2 linked regions of the Cricetulus griseus genome follow. The protein of the gene in region 2 purifies or fractionates together with the protein of the main gene of each other region. This does not show direct contact. Links are inferred from orthologs where the notes say so. Each region holds a gene or a part of one and is shown on either strand. Other genes may lie near its edges. The genes, in order: Ift43 and Tulp3.

Region 1 (3,911 bases), on a different chromosome or scaffold from region 2:
CACTTCAGGTGGCATTAAAAGCTCCACGAGGCTGGGGATATGGTCAGTAGGTAGAGAGCTTGCCTAGCATGCATGAAGTCCTGGGCCTGGTCCTAGCACCTGCAATAACAGGGCATGGCAGTTCATGCCTGTATTCCCAGCTTTCAGGAGGTAGAGGCAGGAGAATCAGTAATTCAGTGTCCTCCTCAGCTGCATAGTGAGTTCCACACAAGCCTGGCCTACTTGAGACCTTGTCTTTAAAAAATAAAACAAGCCAGGTGGTAGAGGAACATGCCTTTAATCCCAGCACTTGGTAGACAGAGGCAGGTGGATCTCTGTGAGTTTGAAGCCAGCCTGGCCTATAGAGTGAGTTCTAGAACAGCCAGGCCTGTTACGAACACACACACACACACACACACACACACACACACACACACACACACACACACCTGTCTCAAAAAGTCAAAAATCAAATAAAAAGAAATAACAAAATAAAATAAAAACTGTACATTATGAGTTTGAAGAAAAAAAAAAGTCCAGAGTCCAGTAGGTCAATGACCTAGAAAGGAACTCCCAAATCAAGACATGTAGGCAGCTGGCATTCCAACCAGATATAGAGGACCACAACCCTACTATCAAGGGTTCATTTCTTCTTAAACGGCATTTCTCTTCACCTTCTTGTTTCCTCTCTGTCTTTGTAGCACTCACCTCTCCAGTCTGAGTCAATGAAGAATTCTTGTTACTCAAGTAACTCTCAGCCTGTGTTGAATCCTGTTGAGCTCGGCGGCCCATCTTGGCCCCCTGCAAGGAGAGACCAGAGCACAAATGATCCAATGGCACTTGAGGCCCTGTGAGTATGACAGAATGGTAAGCCAGGACTGGAATTTTATGGCATGGCAGAGAGCAGGATTTGGTATTCACAGAGAATTCTCTAAATCTTTATGAGAAAGTACCCAAGACAATGTTCTCTTTGGCAGAACAGGAAACATACAGGTTTTTGATCATGAGATTTGCAAAAGCCAGCTACAGCAAAAGCAAAGTTCCTAACACAGAGATAAAAACACAGCTAGTTTGGGCAGAAGCCTCAAACCACAACTCAGAGCGGATGGTAAAGGCTCCCACCATCCTAGGCAGGACTTGAGTGACAGCTACCAGACAGGCTTTCAGGGAGAATTCCTCAATTTCATGGCAACTGACACCAGAGGAGCCCATCTAGAGAGAACTCTTGCTCTGCTGTTGGGCCTGGGGTGGGGTGGGGGTGGGGGTGGGGCGGGAAGAGGGGCACAGGAATGCTGAGACATCACCTTTGGAAACTAGAGCACTTCAAGGTTCTGAGTCACCTGATGAAGCATTTGCAGGCGTTCCCCAAGCCCTCCAAGTGGGTAGGGGCTCTGTCCCCAACATTCCTCAGGACAAAAATAAAACTCTGCGGCATAATAATGAGTGAAGAGTGTCTATGAATGATCATTTACTTAAAAAAAATAAAACTCAGCATAGCATAGCACTTTCAAGTCTCCTTTACTGTGGCTCTGTTTGAATCTCATCATAGTATGGACAAAGACCAAAATTGACACCATAAAAGAGGAAACTGAGGCCCAAGGAAGTGATTATGTAGCAGAGTCTTCTTGGGGCTTTGAATCCTGGATTTGTCCCATCTCACCCCGCTGAAAACTCAGTGCTAAGTGTTCTAAGAAGGAAAGTTTTTAGGAGTGCTGCATAAAAAAAAAAAAAAAGAAAAAAACAAACAACAAAAAAAACCCCACTAAAGTAGGATCTGGGTGCCAGATTGCATTTATCAATCCTTCAAGTTGGGATGTCAATCTTCCAAGGGTGGTGTGAACAATCTTTCTGATAATACCAGCTCATTCCCTTCTCCGGGATGGTACTGATCCTACAGTGGCTACCTTAAAACAGAGATTAGTGACGGTATCTGTAGATGCTGTTGACAAGCGACTGCTCTAACAATTGTTAAAGTTGGAGATATTTGAAGACGCTATAAATTGGCAACATAGAAAACCACTTTACAACCTGAGATCCCGTACTTTAAGGGCAATCTGTTTACTGTCTTCACCACCACCCCCAAGGCAAAGGTCAGTGACTTTGCGTTCTCTGACTAGAACAAAGTCTGATACATAGTAGGGCTCAACACACATTTGTGAAACGAATGACTAAATCACTACATTGATATCCCAGTTACTAAAAAGGTCCATGTATCAGAAAGACCCGATGGCCTATTGTCCTTAGCTTTAAAAAACAAAAATAAAAAAACCCCTGCTCAACCAATTGGCTCCTGCCCATCTTATCTCCCTCCATTGGGGCCTCTCTAGCACCTTGGAGGGCATCGGATGCTACCAGAGCCCTTCAAAACACCTGAGATTTTACAGGAGAATCTAAGGACTTGCCAGGTGACCCAATCTTTCAGTGGTCTCAACTAACTCTAAAAGCTTTGGAGATCTAGAGGCTTTGACAGTCAGAAAACACTGAATGTAGGTCTTTAATCAAGTTCTATGATCTACTGGCTAGATGCTGGTCATGGCCAGCAGCGAAGGTCAGGCGCTGCGGTAAATACCCAATTTCACCTGCTCAGCCACAGCCGCCTCCATTCCACCAGCAAGGAATCCTGGGCTAGGTGTATTCTGGCCCATCAACGGTTTTGTTGTTGTTTTTGCCCAGTTGTTATCACACACACACACGTAATAAACTGGAGTATTCATTTCCAATCCTGGGAAGGGGAGTTAAGAGAGGAAAGGACAATCCCAGCCACCTCTCTTCCTAGCAGCTTTCGGGAGAACTTCCGGGGACTAGACTCCAGGGCTCGGGCGGGCGTGGCTCGGGGCGCACACCCTCGGTCAAGACGGGGTTCGCACTCCGGCAGCTGAGCCGAGATCTGTCCCGACTCCGGGTTTTTCCGACACTTGTCCCACCCGTTGAACCAGCCCCCAGCCCCCATCATCGCTCCTCACGGAGGTGGCCGAGCTGCGACGTCTCTCCTCTCCCAGGTCCAGTAAATCGTCCATCTCCGCGGCCGCTGATGTCACTTCCTGGAAACAAGACTCTGCGCCGCGTCCCTAACAACGACCCCGCCCTTCCACCTTAAAGAGCCCGCCTCACAGTTTCTGGGTCTTGCATGTCACCTTCCAGTTTAAACCAGGTCTTTTCTAAACCAGCTTTGCTTGGCTTAGGGAAAACAAAACAAATCTCCAGATGCCAAAATCCGCTCCAGATGCTCCAGCTAGGTTAGCCTTTGGGACTGCCTACATATGGTTAAATATGTTTATGAGTGAGAGCAGGCACCACTGTTGATTATTCTGACCCCTCCCATTCGAAATGTAGAAAGGCCTTTAAAATACTGCTCTAGTGAAGGATATAACAACTGTGGAGGGCAGAACACGTAGTATTATTTCCATTTGACAGATGAACACTAAGTAATAAAGTTTACAACGTTTACAAGGACTTGCAAAAATGTGGAGTATGTGATTTCTGCCTTTAAGAAGTTTATTTATGCATGCCTGTAATTCCAGCACTTGGGAGTTAGAGTCAGGAAAATCAGGAGTTCAATGTCATCCTCAGCTACATAGTGAGTTTGGGAGGTGAGACTGGGTTACATGAAACTCTGTGTTTGAAAGCAAAGTTTATTTAGAGGACAGATTAAAATATCCAATACCCGAGCACTAATCACTCTTAAAAGTATAAATATAGTGGAACATGGTGACAGAAGTCATGTCACTGCTACTCAGGTGGATCGTGTACGCCCAGAAGTTTGAGTCCAGCCTTGGCAACACAGTGAGACCCTTCTCCTCCTTCTCCTCCTCCTTCTTCTTCTTCTTAAAAAAAAAAAAGAGCATACAACATTAGGGGTCTTATTTAATCTGAACAACACCACAAAGTGATCAACAATAGCTCCTTTACTCAGGAGGACAGATAGCTGGAAC
Region 2 (3,893 bases):
ATAGAGTGGATGGGCACTTCCCAGTGATCGATGGAAGGGTTGCCTCTGCTAATAAGTGTCTCAGTGTTCCTCTCACTCATACAAATAGCATCTCTTTCAACCCTTCTCTTTTAGCATCCAGCGCCTGCAGAGCTTATGCTGCCCTTTATATGGGTGAGAATTTGATGCACAAAAAGTGAAGCAATCCAGGGAGGGGGCTAAGTGAGTGCAGTGTTCTGCCCTCCTAGTCTACGTATGTACCATATTTCCTAGTTTTCAAAAGTTCATTTCTGAGGGGTCGCTCAGCGGTTATGAGTGGGATGCCCAGGTTCTATGTGAGAGCCTTGGGCACCAGGATGCATATGGTACGCAGACATACATGTAGACATAACATCCATACACATGAACTAATAGCCTGGAACATGGAGACACTTGCCTTTAATTCCAGCACTAGGGGGCAGAGGCAGTCAGATCTGAGTTCCAGGCCAGCCAGACTATGTAGTGTGAGATCTTGTCTCTAAATAAATACATCAATTTTTTAAAAAGTAAAAATTTGAATTCGGCATCAATGTGGCAACTTTGGCTTTACAGTTTAAGTCTACGTGCAGTAGCTCTAGTCAGCAAGTCCTATAGAGACCAGAACCAGAAAGGAACTGATGCTGGAGGCATGAGTTACTGCAGAGAGGTCAGGCTTAGCAACCTCCCTTATGGGATAAGGATATAAGTCGGTCCCCAAGTTGGGGTCCCTCAGTCGGGTTTTGGGTGAGGGTTGGTGTTGCAGTCTGAAGGCCTTGGGCATCCCTGCCTTGCGGCAGAAGTTCGCAAATCCCTGGACCACAATCCTTGCAGCACCCTGGGTGTTCTCATTGCGACAGTGGGGTCCTGGGAGTCGCTCTGAAGGAGGCAGCCGAGGAATGAAGCAGCAGGAGACACCCTCGACGGCCAACTGGGATCCAACCCGGGGGGTGGGGGTGGAGGGGCGCACCCCGCTCCCGCGCACGCGCCTTCGCCTCCCGGTGCCTCCCGCCCCCTGGAAACCCTCCAGCATCGCGGCTGGCGCCCTTAGCCAGTGAGAGGGGAGCGGCGGGCAGTGGACCAATGGGCGTCGGCGACAGTGCGGGGTGTGGTTGCCAGGGGCGGGGCCCGACCTCCTCCATCCTCTCCAGCCCGGCCGCGGCGACTCGGGGGTCTGGACGCTGATGCCACCGGCCGGGCGGGTATGGAGGCGGCGCGCTGCGCTCCGGGACCCCGCGCGGACAGGTCAGGGGCGGGGGCGAGGGTAGCGGAGGGGCGGGTGGGGCTCCAGGCCGGGCGGGGGTGGGGTGGGGGCAGGACCGGGTCCCCAAGCAGGGCGGGCGCTGTGCATCCCGCGCCGCCAGCACTCTCTCGTGCCGCTCCCTCGGAGTTTGTCCTCCGAGTTTGCCCGGACCAAGCTCGCCCTGCTCCCCCAGGGTCTCCGAGTCCCTCCCTTGCAACGCGTTCTCCCTTCACCGTTCCTCCCTGGAGCAGAGTCAAAACCGAGGTGGAACGAGGTCCCTCCTGGGAGTCGAAGCGGAAGGTCGCGGGCGATGGTTAATTGGTTCCAAGGCCGTTGCTTTTGGCAGTCATTGCGGAATTCTGGAACGGAGTCCGAGGGCTGAAAATGCAAAACTGTTCTTTTCTTCTTCTCTCTTCCCTTGAGTTCCAGAGCTCTCTTATTCAGGACGGCCTGTCTTAGTTCAGACTGTGCCTTGCCTCTTGTTTGCGCCCCCTCTCTCTGACTGGTCCACAGGGTGATCCTGGGGAAACAAATGGGGTGCCGCCTCAGAATGTTCGTTTGTCGTCAGCTGGGCTAACGAAAAGTTAATGGGGGGCCCTGTGAAATCATTGGTTCAAAACTTTGGAGTTGTCTGAGGATTGAAATCAAACATTTCAACTACATTCTTCGTTTGCCATCCCATCACCACTGCAAATAAAGACTTGGTGTGTAAGGATTTAGTCTGATGTTTAAGCTAGTATTTAACTGACTCGAAACCATCTTTTAAAAAGTTACGAAGACGCTGGAATAGAACCTCCCCACCCCCCTCCGCCGCCGCCCCAACGTCGATCTCAGGCCAGCTAGGCTCGCCTCAGACTTGCTAATGAGGATGACTTTGAACTTCTGATCCTCCACCTCCGCCTCCCAGTGCTGGGCGCTTTTAGCCTTTCATCAGTAAATTCTATACACATGATAGCTGCTACCTGAAATGTGTTTACATCCCCCCCCTTTTAGAACAAAAAAATATATTTACAAGTATAAGGTCGGGCTATTAAAATTAGTATTCAGCGTCTCTGATTAAAATCAGTTGATATCTCCCGGTGGTGGTGGTGCACACGTTTAGTTCCAGCACACTGGAGGCAGAGGCAGGCAGACCTCTCTGAGTTCAAGGCCTGCTTGGTCTACAGAGTTAGTTCCAGGACAGTCAGGGCTACACAGAGAAACCCTGTGTCAAAAAACCAAATAAATAAATAAATAAATAAATAAATAAATAAATGGGGGGATTTGGTTTTAATTTAATGTATTTAGAGAAGTAAATTTCATGGTGATATGGTTTTAGTTTTATTCTTTTTTCTTGCTGTTTTTATTTTTTGTTTGGAGACGGGTCTTATGTAGCCTTGGTCAGACTGGAATTCTCTATTTAAACCAGGCTGACCTTGAACTCGTATAGATCTGTCTGCCTCTGCCTCCCATGATTCATGACTTTAGGGAACAAGAAGAACTTGACTTTGAAATTAGGACCAGATGGCAGTTTTTTTTTTTTTTTTCATTGCCTGAACTTGAACCTTAAAGGTGTAATTTTAAAACCTCACCCCCCAACTTTTTCTTTCAAAGAAACCAACTCATTAATTTTCAGTTGTCATCCATGTGAGTCACTATTTCTCTTGCCCCAGGTAGATAATGCTGCTTTTGTCACTGTTGGTAAAAGGCAGTGAAAGTCTGGTTTTAGGGTAATCATTTATTGAGAGAGAGAAAGAGAGAGAGAGAGAGAGAGAGAGAGAGAGAGAGAGAGAGAGAGAGAGAGAGAGAGACTGACTTGGGATAACCCAGTAATCCAGGCCAGCCCCAAAATCAAAACCCTTCTGCCCGAGCCTGCCTAGTGTCTCATTGGTGTGGATCACCAAACCTGGATGTTCGTGTGTACTGAGTTTTGTTACTTTTTCAAGATGGTCTTTATAATTTGGGCTCGAACTCTTAACGTTCTGCTACAGCCACCTCCCTGCTGCTAGGATTACAGGTTTGCAGCACTACTATGTCAAAGATAGAAGCCAGGGCTTCAGGCTTAACTCTCTCTCCTTTAGTCCCTGCACTTGAGATGCAGAGGCCGGCAAATCTCTCTGAGTTCAGGCCAGCCTGGCCTACATAGTGAGTTCCAGTACTACCAGGGCTTTGCAGAGATACCCTGTCTCAAAAAAAAAAAACAAAAAAACAAAAAACAAACCAAAAAAAACCAAAAACAGTTATCATTCATGAATTGTGGTAGGGGGGCTACAGCATAAATATGGAAGTCAGAAGACAATTTTGTGAAGTCAGTTCTGGGTCTGGGCATGGAACTCTAGTCACCAGATCTTTGGGCCAAGCCCCGTCACCTCGAGCCATCTTTCCAGTTCCTATACTCTTTTTTTTTTTAAAGATTTTATTTATTTATTATGTATACAACATTCTGCTTCCATGTATATCTGCACACCAGATCTCATAATGGATGGTTGTGAGCCATCCTGTGGTTGCTGGGAATTGAACTCAGGACCTCTGGAAGAGCAGTCAGTGCTCTTAACCTCTGAGCTATCTCTCCAGTATATAGGTTCCCCTAGTATCAATGCCTTTAGTTGTGTGGGTAACTGATTTTTTTCCCTTTAGATTATGTAGCTGTTTGACTGTCTTACCTAACAGAGCAGAT

Evidence for each region.
Region 1: the proteins of Tulp3 (region 2) and Ift43 purify together in Homo sapiens (affinity purification with mass spectrometry; 5 studies listed by BioGRID and IntAct, counting the BioPlex papers as one, with this or other methods). This does not show direct contact. The link is inferred for Cricetulus griseus from reciprocal best matches to the Homo sapiens genes TULP3 and IFT43.

The regions. Positions count from the first base shown.
Region 1 is NC_048598.1:117,719,529-117,723,439, forward strand, and holds the start of Ift43 (intraflagellar transport protein 43 homolog), read right to left. Parts: upstream 2,936-3,911; 5' UTR 2,933-2,935; coding exon 2,744-2,932; intron 2,736-2,743; exon of another isoform or gene 2,694-2,735; coding exon of another isoform or gene 2,559-2,693; intron 781-2,558; coding exon 688-780; intron 1-687. UniProt on the Homo sapiens protein: As a component of IFT complex A (IFT-A), a complex required for retrograde ciliary transport and entry into cilia of G protein-coupled receptors (GPCRs), it is involved in ciliogenesis.
Region 2 is NC_048601.1:18,064,204-18,068,096, forward strand, and holds the start of Tulp3 (tubby-related protein 3), read left to right. Parts: upstream 1-1,087; 5' UTR 1,088-1,198; coding exon 1,199-1,239; intron 1,240-3,893. UniProt on the Homo sapiens protein: Negative regulator of the Shh signaling transduction pathway: recruited to primary cilia via association with the IFT complex A (IFT-A) and is required for recruitment of G protein-coupled receptor GPR161 to cilia, a promoter of PKA-dependent basal repression machinery in Shh signaling.